4 linked regions of the Sus scrofa genome follow. The protein of the gene in region 2 interacts with the protein of the main gene of each other region in a pairwise test. Links are inferred from orthologs where the notes say so. Each region holds a gene or a part of one and is shown on either strand. Other genes may lie near its edges. The genes, in order: PIN1, HOMEZ, ELOA and DEF6.

The links.
Region 1: the proteins of HOMEZ (region 2) and PIN1 interact in binary tests that used the Homo sapiens proteins (3 or more experiments, as listed by UniProt). The two-hybrid records come from large-scale screens. The link is inferred for Sus scrofa from reciprocal best matches to the Homo sapiens genes HOMEZ and PIN1.
Region 3: the proteins of HOMEZ (region 2) and ELOA interact in binary tests that used the Homo sapiens proteins (3 or more experiments, as listed by UniProt). The two-hybrid records come from large-scale screens. The link is inferred for Sus scrofa from reciprocal best matches to the Homo sapiens genes HOMEZ and ELOA.
Region 4: the proteins of HOMEZ (region 2) and DEF6 interact in binary tests that used the Homo sapiens proteins (3 or more experiments, as listed by UniProt). The two-hybrid records come from large-scale screens. The link is inferred for Sus scrofa from reciprocal best matches to the Homo sapiens genes HOMEZ and DEF6.

The regions. Positions count from the first base shown.
Region 1 is NC_010444.4:68,725,859-68,729,994, reverse strand, and holds the end of PIN1 (peptidyl-prolyl cis-trans isomerase NIMA-interacting 1), read right to left. Parts: intron 2,154-4,136; coding exon 2,043-2,153; intron 1,148-2,042; coding exon 1,038-1,147; 3' UTR 524-1,037; downstream 1-523. UniProt on the Homo sapiens protein: Peptidyl-prolyl cis/trans isomerase (PPIase) that binds to and isomerizes specific phosphorylated Ser/Thr-Pro (pSer/Thr-Pro) motifs.
Region 2 is NC_010449.5:75,787,971-75,791,987, reverse strand, and holds the start of HOMEZ (homeobox and leucine zipper protein Homez), read right to left. Parts: upstream 2,805-4,017; 5' UTR 2,628-2,804; coding exon 2,588-2,627; intron 1-2,587. UniProt on the Homo sapiens protein: May function as a transcriptional regulator.
Region 3 is NC_010448.4:81,563,529-81,567,652, reverse strand, and holds the start of ELOA (elongin-A), read right to left. Parts: upstream 2,862-4,124; 5' UTR 833-2,861; coding exon 680-832; intron 1-679. UniProt on the Homo sapiens protein: SIII, also known as elongin, is a general transcription elongation factor that increases the RNA polymerase II transcription elongation past template-encoded arresting sites.
Region 4 is NC_010449.5:31,208,735-31,212,296, reverse strand, and holds part of DEF6 (differentially expressed in FDCP 6 homolog), read right to left. Parts: intron 608-3,562; coding exon 499-607; intron 317-498; coding exon 18-316; intron 1-17.

The sequences.
Region 1 (4,136 bases), on a different chromosome or scaffold from region 2:
GGTACAGAGTGGTGGTGGTGGTGGAGATGCCCAGAGCACCGAGATTGGCTCTGATGAATCCAGAGCTGTGCGGTCAGGGCCCTTGCATTCCAGAATATTCTTTTTTTTTTTTTGGCCACCCAAGGCATATGAAGTTCCTGGGCCAGGGATCTGATCTGAACCACAGTTATAACCTATGCAGCATCTGTAGCAAGGCTGGATCCTTAACCCACTGTGCCAGGCTGGGGAATCGAACGTGCGCCCCAGTGCTCCAGAGAGGCCGCTAATCCTGTTGCACCACAGCGGGAACTCCTCTAGAATATTCTTGACCACCCAAGTTTGAGGACTTCTGATACTCATCAGTGCTCTACTTCCGAGAGTCTGGCTGCTGCTAGGATGCCCCCAAGCCCAGGATGAGGAGAGGCTTCTGAGGGAGGAAAGTGCAGCCTGGACACTTGGACACAAGGATGGCAGGAAATGATCACTTCCCCAACAGTGTCCCACCCACCTCAGCAGGGAGGAAATGAGACACGGGACAGTGGAATAGTGGTTCCAGGTTTAATTGAGGGTGGAGAGGGCGCTGCACTGCTGTGTAGAGAGAGCCCCGAAGCAGCAGGCAGCCTGGGCCCCAAGCGGAGCATCTGCTTTTTGCAATTGAAAAGAGGAACATGGCATAACCAGAAACAACTTAAGGCCCTCCTGCCCGCACGCCCCCCCACCCCCTTCCTGGACCTGGGGGAACACAGGGGGTGGCTCGGCTAACTAGGCCTTCTCTTTGGGACAGGTCACCCCCACCTGCTGGGTCTGGGAGCCTGGAGGGCCTCTCCACCCCAGGCCCTTCTGAAGTCAATTCCTAAAAGGGAGGGGAGTCTGGCAGGGAGACCCCGATGGTGAAGAGCCCCCCTTCCAGCCATGTTGGGATCAATAAATACTGTGTGACGTTAGCAGGCAGGGGGACCCACAGGTCGGCTGGCAGCAGGGAGCAGGGTCTGTGGGCCCAGCCACCCCGTCCCGCCCCACCCCACACCGGGAGGCCAGGCCTGAGCTGTCCACACCCCTCACTCCGTGCGCAGGATGATGTGGATGCCGGAATCCGTGAACACGGGCCCGCTCATCTCCCCTGTCCGCAGAGCAAAGGAGGCGTCTTCAAATGGCTTCTGCATCTGACCTGGGGAAGTATGAAGGCTGGTGTGTGCGGGGGGGTCAAGACCCGGGCCTGGGGCCAGGACCGGGCAGAGCCAGCAGATGGGGCGCCCACATGCCCGCCCCTGGCCCTCATTCAGACTCATCTGTCACAGGTTTATGGCCCTGTCAAGGGGCCAAGCTGCGGCCCAGCTGGGGGCGGCAGGGCTATTAAGGAGGCCCCAGGAAGCCGGAGGACAGTGTGAGGGATGGCAGGCAGAGCTGCAGCCTCTACCGTCCACTGAAGAGATACTTTTTAGTAATGAACTGATCTCCCTGGGCCCGGTTCCCAGCCACTGCCACATCACTTGTCCTACCTGCCTCCTGGGGTGGTCCGCAGCCCCTTGCTGGCTCCCTGACACCCCTCACCCCATTCTGGGCCCCTGATGACCCTGGGGATGGAGGGGGAAGGAGGCGGTGGCCTGGTTCCCTCTGCTCCTCGCTTTCCACAGTCTCAGCTGCAGAGGCCGGAACTCAGCGGTTGCTCACCTGACCTCCCTCCTCCCCTCACCCTGTTGTTCCCACCCACCAGGGGAGGCAAGGGATTCTGGGCCTCCAAGGGCCCCAGCCTGACATCTCCAATGGGAGAATAGGAAAATGTCAGCAAGCACCCACCCTGGTGGGCCTGTGATGGGGCCAAGTGAGCAGAGAGACACACAGACCGCCTCCCCACCCTAAGAAAGAAGGTCATTGGGAGAGGGCTCTGCGGCCGCCACTCCAACAGGGGAGCCTATGAAGCTCGAGGAGGAACAGTGCTGCCACCTGGTGGACCCTAGAGGCCTGCGCGACAGGGGCCAGCCCACCCTATCTCTAGGTGGGGGGCAGGCGCTGGTGGGTTAGGGGTTCCCGCCAGGGTTTGGTGGTGCCCATTCCTCGCGCACCTCTGCTGAAGGCACCCAGGTCTCCCCTGGCCTTGGCGGAGTTGCAGTCGCTGAACTGTGAGGCCAGAGATTCAAAGTCCTCCTCTCCCGACTTAATCTTCTGGATATAGCCTGCAGGACACACCGGGAGACCTCCACGTCAGTGGCGGGGCGGGGCGGGGGGAGCTCCAGGGAGGGCGGCAAGGCACTCCCTGTGCGCATGCGCAGTCACACCTGGAGTCGCAGGCACCCACGATGTGGGGCTTTTCATGTGCATGCACACCGCGACCCTATGGTGACCTCAACAGCCAGCTGGTCTCACACCCCATTCAATGCATGAGTCTCCCCATAATGGGCGCCTGTATGAACACGAGTACGCATGCGCGCACACATGAATGCTCCGTGAAGAGCATAGCTCTTCCTGCCCCTTCTCTCGACACACACGCTATGAGAGAAAATCTTCCTCCGGGTCGTGTTAGGGAGGATAGCAGGATACAGGACAGATGTTAAAAAGGGTCCCCCCAGGGGCCTCAAGGCAGTGGTAGGAAAGTTTTCTAGAGGCTTCTAGGAGAAAGGCAAGAAGGCCAAGGCACGTGCCCAGTTCTGCCATAGGAGACGGCCAGGTCCTGGGCCCATGGGTCTCAGCTGTCCCTTCTGTCCAAAGTGTGAGAAAGGCCAGGGCCGCTCACCAGGGCATTGCCAGGGGACCCAGAGGCTGCCAGGCTGGGGCTCGGAAAGGGACGTGCATTGTTCCACGGAGTACGCCCTAGGGGCGGCTGACAAGACTCTTCCTCCAGCTGCCCTGACAGGGTGTGTTGGCAGTGTACCACATTCACCCACCGTATGTGGCCCGGACTGTCCCCACTGGGGACCGATGCTCCCTGGAGGGACAGGGAGGCTGGGCTCTGTGAGGGGAGGAAAAGATGAAGGACTCCCAGTAGAGGGCGCCAGGGGGCAGCAGCGAGCCCAACGCTAGCCTGGTGCAAACTTCACGGTCTGACCTCAATGTCACTTGTCATCCATCTATCTGCCCCAGACGACCAGGACAGCACTCCCTATCACCCTGCCACCCCAACCCCATCTCGCTGCACATCAAGGCTGCAACCGCCTGTCCCAGCATCTGCTTTGCCTGGCTGGTTCCATGGCTGTCCCTATAACCCCCACCTTCCCTGTATCTTGGCCACGCTCATACTGTCCTGACCACCCCTCTACCTCTGAGCCTCAAATGTTAGTCATCTGCCAGCAGATAATGCACTGACACACAGCACAGTGCTCGGCACAGAGAGACACCTTGACAAAGCACACTTGCTGTTGCCATTCTGTTCTCCCTTCTGTGTGGGCTGCCAGCCAGTGATGAGGCTGTCCCTACTCTCCCATCCACCCATCCCTGGTCCTCCTGGTCTGCACTGGCCGTCACCTTGACATGCTGCCTGTCAGACAGGCTCTCTGATGCAACACAAAAGCCCCAACCTCTACGGACTGCATGCTGCAGTGGCTTCTGCTATAATGTGCCAGTGTGCTCGGACCACCCCTCTGGGGCTCCCAGGTGGTCCCCCTAAGCCAGAGGCATCTTCGAGTGACTATGATCTGAGTGACTCTGGGCTGAACAGGCTGTCACTGGGATATCCCTCCCCGACCTCCTCTTCTCCCTGGATTCTGGTTCTCTCTCAGCCTCACCGGGGCAGCAACAAGATGGCCTCTTCCTCGCTCCTCTGTCCAGACCTCGGTAACGCCAGCCAGGGAATCCTGAGTGCACAGTGGCCCCCAGTGTACCTGTCCACCTCCAGGGACTCTGGCGAGGGCACCATTTACACCTGGGGAGTCAGGCCCAGCCCTGTATAAGCACCCCCTTGCTGCATCCTCCAGCAGCTGGGGGTGTGGATACAGCCACAGGATCCCCAAGACTAGATGGCCTGTCCAAGGTACATACACAGTGAGTATGTACAGGCAACAGCAGCCTAAACACTGACTAAGAGACAAGCTTTTGCCCCCTCCCGTAGTTCACAGCACCCAAATCTTCTTCTGATCGGCCAACTCCCTCAGAAAATATCCTGCTTGGATGGGAGCCTGACATGATTTCTAAAAAAATTTGTTTCATGGTTAAGGTTCTAGCAT
Region 2 (4,017 bases):
GGTAGATTCTACAGTAATCACAACCACAGTGAAGACACTACAGTGTCTTGTGTTCTTGTACCTCCTTTGGAGAAGGTAGGAAAAAAGGGAATCAGAGCTAGAGAAATAAATCCTCTGGGCAGAGGTGTCCATGTCAGTGGTGGTATTATCAATTCTGAATTACTATTAAGTTTGCATCCTTATTAAAAATGCCCCCAAAAATTGCCACATATGTCCCACTGCTACTTAAAGTCATCAATAAATACAGTCAAGATAACACTCTTACTTCCCTTTGGGCTTTCCATACCCCTGGGCAGATGGCAGAAAAAAATGGGTTGCCTTAAACTTCTGATGTTGATGTTCACAATAATCCTAGAGAAAGGAGGTCTTCAGAACTTGAGCCTAGGAGTTCCTGCTGTGGCACAATGGGATCAATATTCTGTAGCACTAGGACCAAGGTTCAGTCCCCAGCCTGGCACAGTGGGTTAAAGGGTCCAGCATTGCAGCTGCAGTGTAGGTCGCAAACTGCGGTTCAGATAACAAACTGCAGCTGGGATCTGATCCCTGGCCCAGACAAAAAGGAAAAAAAAAAAATTGAACTTGAGCCTAGACTTGTGGTTAAAGCAAGAGATCATTCAAATAAGAGAACAGATATGATCCTGCTAAATTCCCTAAATGTTTACTCAGAGAACTGAAGTATGTTTTTGAATGAAATGTGTTTTGGTGAGAGTTTTCAGGACCTTAAGGGGCTTTTAGTGATATTCATGTGCTTCTTAAGTTTTTGGATCAAGGAACTCTTTGAAAATCAGAAATTACAGACCCTCAGAAAGTTATGACTTATACCCCCCCACCAATAAACATTCACACTCTCATATTATATATAGTATAATCTCAGGGGGTTCACTGAGTGCCCACAAGCCCAGGTTAAGAAACTCTGCCTATGTCCTCCCGATTTAATAAATAAAGGCAATGTGTGGTAATTGCTTAAAGAAGAAACAACTTTTTATGAATGAATCAAAAGAGTGGATGGAAGCCTCAAGAGAATCTGAATTAGCCTTGAAGGGATTAGGTATTGGTGATATTAGTTGGAAAGAGTGGCAGCCAGGGATGTTCAACTGGGCCAGGAGCCTGACTTAACAGATCCTCACTGGATTACATGGTAATCCACACCCACAGGGCACTGGAAACTAGAGGCTGTTAGGCTACTTTCCAGTGTGCCAAAATCACCTGCTTCCTTCAGTCGTTCTGTGTCCTCAGGCATGGTGTGTGATATTCCAAGCCTGCTTAGGCCTATTGTTTTTCTGTGTTTATATAAATTCAACATCACATAAACCTATGAAAAAATTAGTATGTTAAGAATTGTTCCTATGAAAACAGTCACATGCTTTCAAAAGACGTAATACAAAGGAGCGTACATTTTAAAAAACTTGAGAGTAGGCAAGACAACTGTAAAAGAATGGAAGGGGCAGGGGACTTAAAAATCTCAAGAGGTATTCCATTCAGATTTAAATGTTTTTAAATTTGTGTTTAAATTTCCACTTCACTATAAAGAAACGAAACCTGGAAATCACAGATGAGAGGCAGTGGCTCCTGTCTCAGACTGCACATTAGAATTACCTGGAAAACTGAAACCAGAGCATTCACCTCCTCACTCCGACTTAATTAGCCTGGACTAGGGCCCAGGCATAAGTAGTTTTAAAAAGTTCTCAGGGTGCAGTCAGATTTGAGATTTGCTTATGTAGTTTATACTACAAAGGCAACTGGGACTGCCAGTCAGCAGAATGTACACAAAGAAAACGCCTGGACACTAACCCAAGAGATTGGTGAAATGAATGTACTTTTAATGACAATGCTTAAGATGTGTATGCATCATTTAAAAATTCCCAGCTGGCTTTTTTGTTTTCAATTACTGCCACCTACCTATCTTAACCATAAAAAGCGCTTCAAAGGTATGGTGAGAAGGGGGGTCATATGATAAAAGATCTCATCTGGGCCCACATTACCAAATAGGTCTCAGCTTGAGTCTTTCGGTTCAGAAGTCTCAGATTAGGACGCAACACCAGGAACCTCTGAAGACTCAGGTTCTCACTTTACTGGTTTGATTTTCTGAGTATGGCTGGGTAAAGGGGTCAGAAGGAGTAGTTTCTCTTAAACCTTTCATTCCCAAAGGCCACTGCTCCCCAGGAATAAGGCCAGGTTTCTGTGCGTGTGTTGAGGTCGCCAGGAGGTAGTCGTGGAGGGGAGGAGGGGAGGCCTTGGGAAGGAAACGTTTCTCCTATCCTCCATTTCACAGGCAGTCTAGAAGGCTCCGAACTGGGTCAGAGAACAAAAAGTTGCTGCACTTGGGGCGATGAGCCCCAGAGAGCAGGCGAATCTTTATCCTCCCCTTTCCGAGGGCGTCCCAACCCTGCTTTCCCCTCCTCCCTACACACCCACTCACCCTCCCCCAGTTACAACAGGGAACCGAAAAGTCCAGAGGAGAAAGGAGAGAGAACCGGGCAACTTCGAACCCAGAATTCTCCTCCCCCTAGCGCGGGGATGGAACTCCAGAGGTCGGAGATCGTACACGGGCTGGGAGGGGAAGTCGAAAGGGCTGGGGATCACTCACCGCTGTCCGGCCCGGGCGGCGGCTCCCAGCCTCGCACCATGGGCCGGGGGGAAAGGGGGAGAAAGGGCAGGGGGCCTCCGGGGTGAGAATAGGGTTGCTGCCCGGTGCGGCCTGCTCCGAGCCCACCCGCGCCGAGGGCCAGGACCGGGACTTGCCCCCCTCCCGCCCCCGAGAGCGCGCCGGTCAAGCCCAGCCCAGCTCCAGCGAGTTGGAGGCGGGGCGGATGGGTGGGGCGGGCCCCAGGGGCGGTGCCAAGGTGGCCAGAGTCCTGATTGGTGGGTTTAAGGAGGCGGGCCCCGGCGGAAGGGGCTGAGCCGGCCATTGGCAGCGTGGGTCTCTGTTGAAGTCCGCTATTGGCTGCGTTGTGCCTCAGCCGGGGTGACTATTGGGTGCGTGGGACAGGGAAGATGTCCCCCCGCCGCTAGGGTGCCGTGAATGGTACTCCGCCCCGCGCTCCCCCGCCCCCCCCACCTTGTGGGCACCGGATCTTCGGAGTCCACAGGGCCCTGTTCCTGCTGGAATTCCCCAAGGAATTCACAGCAGTTTGTTGAACTGTCCAGACCGCCTACAAACTACTCCTTATTTGTTTCCTCCGGAAGGAAGACTTTTTCTGTATTCCTTTCCCAGCTCACACAAGGAGGCGCGCGTTCCCAGCTGCCGTCGGCGGCGTCACTGTAAACGCGTAGAGCAACCGGGAACTTGTATAGAATGTCTTGGCCACCCCGAAAGACAAGGATCCTAGCAGCCTGGCACCTTGGGCCGCTTCCCGGGTCCAGTTGTCACCAGACGGATGTTCTCAAAGAGGAAGTGCTGGAGGGGTCACCTTGTTTAGGACACTCCACACCTCCCCAGGCCCCCCTTTCTGCCATAGTAAAGAGGACCTGGAGCTGTAACTCATATTTGGGACCGTGGGTTTTGCTGTCAAGAAAGGGTTTACACTAAAACAGTATTCCACACCACAATTCTGGGCCGTAAATTTGTATAGTCAGGATTCTCAGTCTTCTGACTAAAACTTGGGAACAGTACTTTTTTTTCCTTCTTTCTTATTGTAGTCAATTTACAATGTTCTGTCAATTTCTGCTGTACAGCAAAGTGACCCAGTTATACATATATGGGAACAGTACTTTCAGAAGTGACTCTTCTGTATTCCACAGACTTCACCCCTTCTCGTGTACCCCCTAAAATTCAGCCATCATAACTGCTACTTCTGATTCTTCACCACTCCACACTAAGGTCTAGAGCTTTTTTAGGATTGCAAAGCATCAGAAATATATCTGTGCTTCAGCTCAGAACCCTATTTTCTTTTGTGTGCCTTGCGTTTGCCCATTCCTCTCCTCTCTCCCTCAGCACATTTAGTAACAGTCTCAGCTCCTAAAAGCTGTGTCCTTTAAGCTAGTATCCCACAAAAACATCATAGGAGTAAGCAACAG
Region 3 (4,124 bases), on a different chromosome or scaffold from region 2:
GCCAGAAGAAAATCTAGCTGCAACTTCTAATCTTTTTTCCCCTTCCAATCACAACCTAAGTTTTTACCTAGGTGACAGGAGGTTAATGTTGTTTTAAAAAGACTTACTGAGAAAGTGAAAAGGTCCACGTTCTAATACCACGTCAGAATGCAATAAAAACGTCTTATAGGCGCAGGACCACACTGAGCTTAGACTCCCCATCAAGCAATGGCAGAACCACCTCCTTCTCCCAACAAACATCAAAAGGCACTAAGAAATCAGAAACATTTCGCAGGGCGAGGGACGGAGCAGGCAGGAGTTAACTCCGGGCGAGCTCTCCCGACAGGAAACAGCTGGCCCGGGACGCCGGAGGAGGGCTCCGGGAGCCCCGCCGGCACGCGGTGGCCGCACGGAGCGCGCTCCTGCCCTCCCGGAGCCCGCGGGCGCCCCGGCCCGGCCCCGGAGGCAGGAAGGCCGGATCGCGGAGGCGCGCCGCCAGCCGTGCGGGGTCCCACCGCGTGGGCAGTGGCCAATGGCCACGAACTTCCCGACCGCAGGCCGAAGCCCGGCGGGGCCGCGCTCCGGGTCCGAGACCCTACCGCCCGGGCCGCTCGGGAAGGGGCCGCCCCCGGGCCCGCGACCGTTACGGGGTCACGCCGCGCCCAACGCCCGCCCCGCTCCGCGCTGCCCACTCGCTCACCTTCTTCGGGTCCGGGTTCGCGGCTAGGCGCGCCTGCAGCTTCTCCACAACTTGGAGCGCCGACTCCGCCGCCATCGCTGTCACTGGCGCGGCCTCCTCGCCGGAACTGGGCTCGCGTCGCGTCCTCGGGCTGCAGCTCCGCCCTCCGTGCATCCCCGGCGGAGACGGAAGCGCGACTGGCCCCTTCCGGGCCTTGGCGAAGTGGGGGGGCGCGGGGCGTGGGGGGCTGGCCGGCTGCAGGCCCCGCCCACAGGGCTGGGGGGCCGGGGGACCAGGTTTTCAGCGCGTACCCCGGCCGCGCGCGAGCGCGCGCGGGGAGCTGGAGCCGCTTGGTCCCCGCGCGCCGACTCTGCACTGGTCCGCTCCGTCCTGGCCCGCTCCGCACTGGTCACCGCTGGCCGGCCCTGCTTCTGGTCCTTGGTGTGCGGAGCCAAGGCCTGGAAGACCTGTCCCGTGTCTAACCAAGGTGGAATGAGGCGAGCGCCTGAGACCCTGGCTTTATAAACCCTGGTCCACCCCCGTCCGCCGTAAGCCACGCCCTAAGTAACACCTGTGTGTGGTTCCAGGGTGGGTCTGCTGCCCTGGGAATCAGCAGGGAATTAACATAGTGACCACCCCTGATTGGGCGCACTAAGCGTCAGCTGTAAACTAGCTTAATTTCACCTTCACTTAAACCCAAAGAAAGGAGTTATATTATCCCCATTTTACAGATGACGAAACTGAAGCCCTGGGAGTCGAACTTGCATGTGATCACATAACAGGAAAGAAGTGCGAAGCTGGAATTTGAATATAAACAGTTTAGGTACGCTGTTAACGCACATCTCTGAATAGGTCAAGGAGTTGAGGCCTAGAGAGAGGGATTTGTCAAGTCAGTTTAGCTACGTGAAGTAATTAATAATAGTCCATGTCTCACTTTTCTCCCAAAACAGTGTCTTGTACAGAGGTACCAAAGAAATACTTCTTCAATGAATAATTGAATGAATGAATGGCTGTTTTCTCTAAATCAGTACAGCCTGAATCAGACCAGCCCAAGAGACCATCCTTGAGGGCCCTTACCCTCATCCTATAAGCACTAAATTTCACTATTACTATTATTACTACTAAAATGAAGTACTGAACAGTGGAAAATTGGTTTAAAATACCAGCATTGATCACATTTTGTTTGATTAGATTATATCCTAATCTTATCACTATCAGCAATTTGGGAGCCTGACCTTTCACCCAATGCGGGAAGGCCCAGCAGCTCTTCAAGTCCCAGCTCCGGAAAAAGTAAAAGAACTTTCATGCACTCACTAAATTGAGAAGACCTCCCTAAGGTGTTCCCACCCCTCTGCTTGGTGCCCTTTCCTCTGCAACTAACCCTTTTCAGGGTGTAAACTGTCCATCTATTCTTCTGTCCTGTCACTGAGCTGTTTATCAGCTGCCATCATTGACCTGTCCAACTTTAAATCTCTGTTGCCTGGTATAAACTAGTCCATAGAATCAGCACTGGATAAAAAGTCCATAAAGATTAATCATCACCTGCTTGGTGCCCTAAGACTCAATCATGAAGTATAATGGAAAACACATCAAACTAGGCATGAGGAGACTTGGATTCTAGTCCTGGCCCTAGAGTCTCCCTTTTCTGCACAGCAAATGCTTTTACATTTACATTTTAAATTGCTTCCATTTTGAAAATGTAACATTGGTGTAATGGGAAAATGGGCCCATTTTTTAAGCAGAATTGCTGACTAACTGACCTGGCATATACTTGAGACACTCAGAACATTTTGTGCATGTTACCCGGGGAGATCTCAACAACCAGAATAAAAAGAAACAATGCATGCTGCTGGGGATACTGGGGAGAGCGCACCCCAACCCTCTACCCTATGTATGTCAACCTGAGACTTGCGAATATTGAAGTCTCACTTGAATATCTGACTACTTGGCAGATCAGTTAATTATGTTGTACATGTCACGCCGATTAAAAAGAAAGTTTTTTAGCCAGTTCTGAAAATGATATTTTGTATATATTCACTGGGGGATTACAATCTACTCCTTGGTTTATACAAGGGTTTTCAACAGCAGAATGCTGTTCCCTAAAGTCTGAGGCTGTTTTGTCCATCTTGGATCAACAATACTTAGCCCACAGGTGGCATTCCATGAAGGTTTCTTGAAAACTGAACTAATTACTATTCAACTTAACGTTAGCCCAGAGTATCATTAGAAAACCTGACAAGGATTTCCCACCTCTCTTACCAGCACTATAGAGCCCCTTGTAGAAGACCTAAAAAACAGGTTCAGAAGGCATGTTTAAGGCTATACTGGGGAAGAAAAATGGGTAGGAAGGTTCTCATCTTTGCTAGGCACACTTTTGACTTTTTGCAACAAATATCTACTTTCCTTTTTTTTTTTTTTTTTTTGCTTTTTAGGGCCGCACTCATGGCATAAGAAGTTTCCAGGCTAGGAGTAGAATTGGAGCTGCAGCTGCCACCCTACACCACAGCCACAGCAATGCAGGATCCAAGCCACATCACGGCACCTACACCACAGCTCACGGCAACACTGGATGTTTAACTCACTGAGCAAGGCCAGGGATCAAACCCGCATCCTCATGGATTCTAGTTGGGTTCATTACCACTGAGCTACAATGGGAACTTCAACAAATATGTACTTTTATAATAATAAAAAAAACCCATAAAGGTACTTTAATTTTGGAAAAAAGCAACCCCAGGCTGGCTGGCACTAGAGTCAATTAGAATCCTGAAAGACAAGTGAAAACAAACACCAAAGATGCTGTCTTCAACAGCAGAAGGGGGCCCTTGTCTTTCACGGAATGGTCCATTGGAATTCTGTGAGCTGGGCAGTGTGCTGAGTGAGGAATACTTCTGGGTGGAGGGCTTCCCCGTTGGACCACTCCTGGCTTGGGCGCTGCCACTCCTCTATCTTACCAAGTGGACAGAGTGTGAGGTTTGTTGGGTGGTGAGTGTGAAGGACAGAGGGTTGGGGCTCAGTGACAACCTGAGCTCCAGTCCCTACCTCTAGCAATGCTGACTGTGGTCAACTTACTGGCTGAAATTGTTTGTCTTTTTGCCTTTTCTTGGGCCGCACTCGCGGCATATAAGACCTCCCAGGCTAGGGGTCTAATCGGAGCTGTAGCCACCAGCCTACGCCAGAGCCACAGCAATGCCGGATCTGAGCCGCGACTGCAAGCTACCCCACAGCTCACGGCAACGCTGGATCCTCAACCCACTGAGCAAGGCCAGGGACCAAACCTGCAACTTCATGGTTCCTAGTCGGATTCGTTAACCACTGTGCCACAACAGGAACTCCTGAAATTGTTTCTGTATAGATTTCTTGTGAGGTTTATTAATATATTAACTGATACTGTACATTTTTTTTTCTCCTTTTTTTTGGTCTTTTCTAGGGCCGCCCCCTTGGCATATGGAGGTTCCCAGACTAGGGG
Region 4 (3,562 bases), about 45 Mb from region 2:
CCCGGGTGCGGCCGCACCTGCTCCGCCTCGCGCAATTGGCCCTCGAGCGCCTGCTGCAGCTCGCGGTGCTGGCTGCGGCGCCGCTCCTCCTCCTCCTGCAGCAGGCGCTCTGCCTGCCGCTGCGCCTCCTGCAGCAGCTCCAGCTCCTGCAGCTTCCGCTCCTTCTCCTCCTGTAGCTGCTGCAGCCGCAGCATCTCCTCCTCCTTGGCTGCCCGGCGCCGCTCCCGCTGCTCCCGCTGCTCGCGCCGCTTCTGCTTCAGGTCCTTGTGCAGCGACGTCTTCCCCTCTGCCTGCAGCCGAATCGCCATCTGGATGGCTGCAGAGGAAGCGAGAGGGGACCAGCTAGGGGCAGAGAGGCCTCGAGGTGGCCCCCTGCCAGGAGAGGGCTTTGGAGTCCCGCCTCGCGCTGGGCAAAGTGCTATCATCCCCCCCACACCCCTTTTCACAGATGAGACGACCGAGGCCCGGTCAGATTCAGGCCAACCGGCGAGCACCCACCAGCCGTCCACTCCTGGCGTTGGCGAGTGTCTGAAGCACTCATCTCGTACGTGCGGGAGGCCGTCTTCACGCAGAACATGCAGCGCTTCCCCTCTCGGTCGGGCAGCACCTGGGAGAGGGCAGGAGGCTCCAGACAGGCTGGCGTCACTGGGTTCAGGCCACAGCCGCCCCAGGGGGGCTCCAGCTCCAGCCCCTGCCCCTCCTGGCTGAGCCCCAGGGGAACCCCTCCCCCTCCGCCAGGAGCCTGCGTGGCCTGCTTGGGAGGTCGGGTATAGGGATGCTTGTGTCCCCACAACTTGGCTCTTTGAAGGTAGGACCGGTTTCCTCCTGCATGGAGCCTAGCACCTAGTGGCCTCCCAGTGTTCATGCAGATCACTGTCAAACATCTCCAGTGACAGTCACTACTGAGACCATCCATTTTCGCATGGCCCTGCCTGGCAAGAAAGTTCTCCATTCATTCATTCCACAGATAATTTTATCAAATCTCCTGAATGCCACTCATTGCTCTGGGCATTTGGGATACTGAGATGTGCCCAACAAACCAAATCCCTGCCTTCCCTAAGCTCACATTCTAGTGGAAAACAACAGCTACCCCATATTGAGCTTCATGGGTACTAGGGTCTGTACCAGGCAGTTTATGAAAGTGCCAATTTCTCACCAACACTTATTATTTTACATTTAAAACATTTGTTAGGTCCACTTTACAGAGAAAGAAACTGAGGCTCTAAGAGTCCAAGAACTTGCCCAATGCACACCGCCTGTTAGTGGTGGAACTGGATTTCTGCCTAAATCTGAGCTCTTTCCACAGTGACAGCTGTTTCCTTATGTGATAAAAATGGACAGGGCCTAGAAAGGCTATAATAATGTTTCAAATGTAAAACAATAAGTGTTGGTGAGAAATTGGAACTTTCATACAATGTTGGTGAGAATGTAAGATGGTATAGGCACTATGGAAAACTGTTTGGCTGTTCCTCCGAAAGGTAAACACAGAATTACCATGTGAGAGAGTTCCCCTTGTGGCTCAGTGGGTTATGAACCCAACTAGTATCCATGAGGATACGGGTTCAATCCCCAGCCTCGATCAGTGGGTTAAGGATCTGGTATTGCTGTGGCGTAGGCCAGCAGCTGCAGCTCCTGTTCAACCCTTAGCCTGGGAACTTCCATATAACACAGGTGTGGCCCTAAAATAAAAGGAAAAGAAAAAAAAATTACTATGTGATCCAGCAAGTCTACCCCTAGGTATGTACCTAGAGAAAAGAAAATACATATCCACCCAGAAACTCGCACCTGATGTCCATAATGGCATTATTCGCAATAGCAAAAAGATCGAAACTACCAAATATCCATGAATGGATGAGTAGAAAAACAAGATGTAGTATATCCTTACAGTGGAATATTATTCAGCCATAAAAAGGAATGAAGTCCTGGAGTTCCCGTTGTGGCACAGCAGAAATGAATATGAGTGGTAACCATGAGGTTGCAAGTTCAAACCCCGACCTTGCTCAGTGGGTTAAGGATCTGGCATTGCCATGAGCTGTAGTGTAGGGCTCAGATCCCATGTCGCTGTGGCTGTGGCCGGCCGGCAGCTGTGGTTCCGATTCAACCCCTAGCCTGGGAACTTCCATATGCCACAGTTGTGGCTCTAAAAAGCAAAAAAAAAAAAAAAAAAAAAAAAAAAGGAATGAAGTCCTGATTCATGCCACAACATGCTTGAAAATGTTATGCCAAGTGAAAGAAGCCAGGCACAAAAGGACAAATATTATATTATATTATTCCCTTATATGAGGCACCTGGAATAGGCAAGTTCATGGAGGCAGAAAAGCAGAATAGAGGTTATAGAGGCACTGAAAGGGAGGAAGGATGAGTTATCACTTAATAGGTGCAGAGTTTCTGTTTGACATGATAAAAAAAAAAAAGCTTTGGAAATAGATAACTGTGATGGTTACATGTGAATGTACTTAATACTACTGAATTGTAAAATGGTTAAAAAGGCAAATTACATTGTGAAGTATATGTTTATGTATTTTACTACTTTTTTTTTTTTTTTTGCTTTTTAGGCTGCACCTGCGGCATATGGGGGTTCCCAGGCTAGGGGGCGAGTAGGAACTATACCCACCAGCCTATGCCACAGCCATGGCAAGGCAGGATCTGAGCTGCGTCTTCCACCTACACCACAGCTGACAGCAACGCCAGATCCTTAACTCACTGAGCGAGGCCAGGAATTGAACCTGCATCCTCATGGATGCTAGTCAGATTTGTTAACTGCTGAGCCACGACGGGAACTCCTAATTGTTGTTTCACACCTCTAAGATAATGGGCAGGGCCCAGGGAGGAAAAGGTGTGGGAAGGAAGGAAGAATAGGGAGGTATAGAGTTGCCAAAGGGAATGGAATTTGGGTGAAGGAGAAAGATGTTTCGAGAGGATTTTTAGAAAAGTTTTGCTGGGTAATATGAGCCCTAAGCCATCTATCTCCTCTGAAATCTGGAGCAAAATCCACATTATTCACCCATGATTTTAGTATTTGATCTGTAGTTTTGGGTTTTTTTTTTTAAAGTACTGACATATGGAATCTAAAAACGAAAAACAAAACAAATGAACAGGAGTTCCTGTTGTGGCTCAGCGGTAAGGAACCCAATTAGTATCCATGAGGATGTGGGTTGATTCCTGGTCTTGCTCAGTGGGTTAAGGATCCAGCATTGCCGTGAGCTGTGGTGTAGGTTGCAGATGTGGCTCGGATCTGGTGTTCCTGTGGCTGTGGTGTAGGCCAGCAGCTGTAGGTCTGATTTGACCCCTAGCCTGGGAAACTCCATATGCCGTGGGTGTAAGCCCTAAACAGAAAAATAAATAAATAAAATTTTTAAAAATGAACAAAGCTAACAAAACATAAACAGAATTATAGATTCAGAGAATAAATAGGTGTTTGCCAGAGAGTAGGGTGGCAGGAGTGGAAAGGAAAATTGACAGAGATTCAGAGGTATGAACTTTCAGTTGCAAAAGGAGTGAGTCATGGGTATAAAATGTATAGCGTGAGGAATATAGTTAGTAATTATGATGACACAATTAT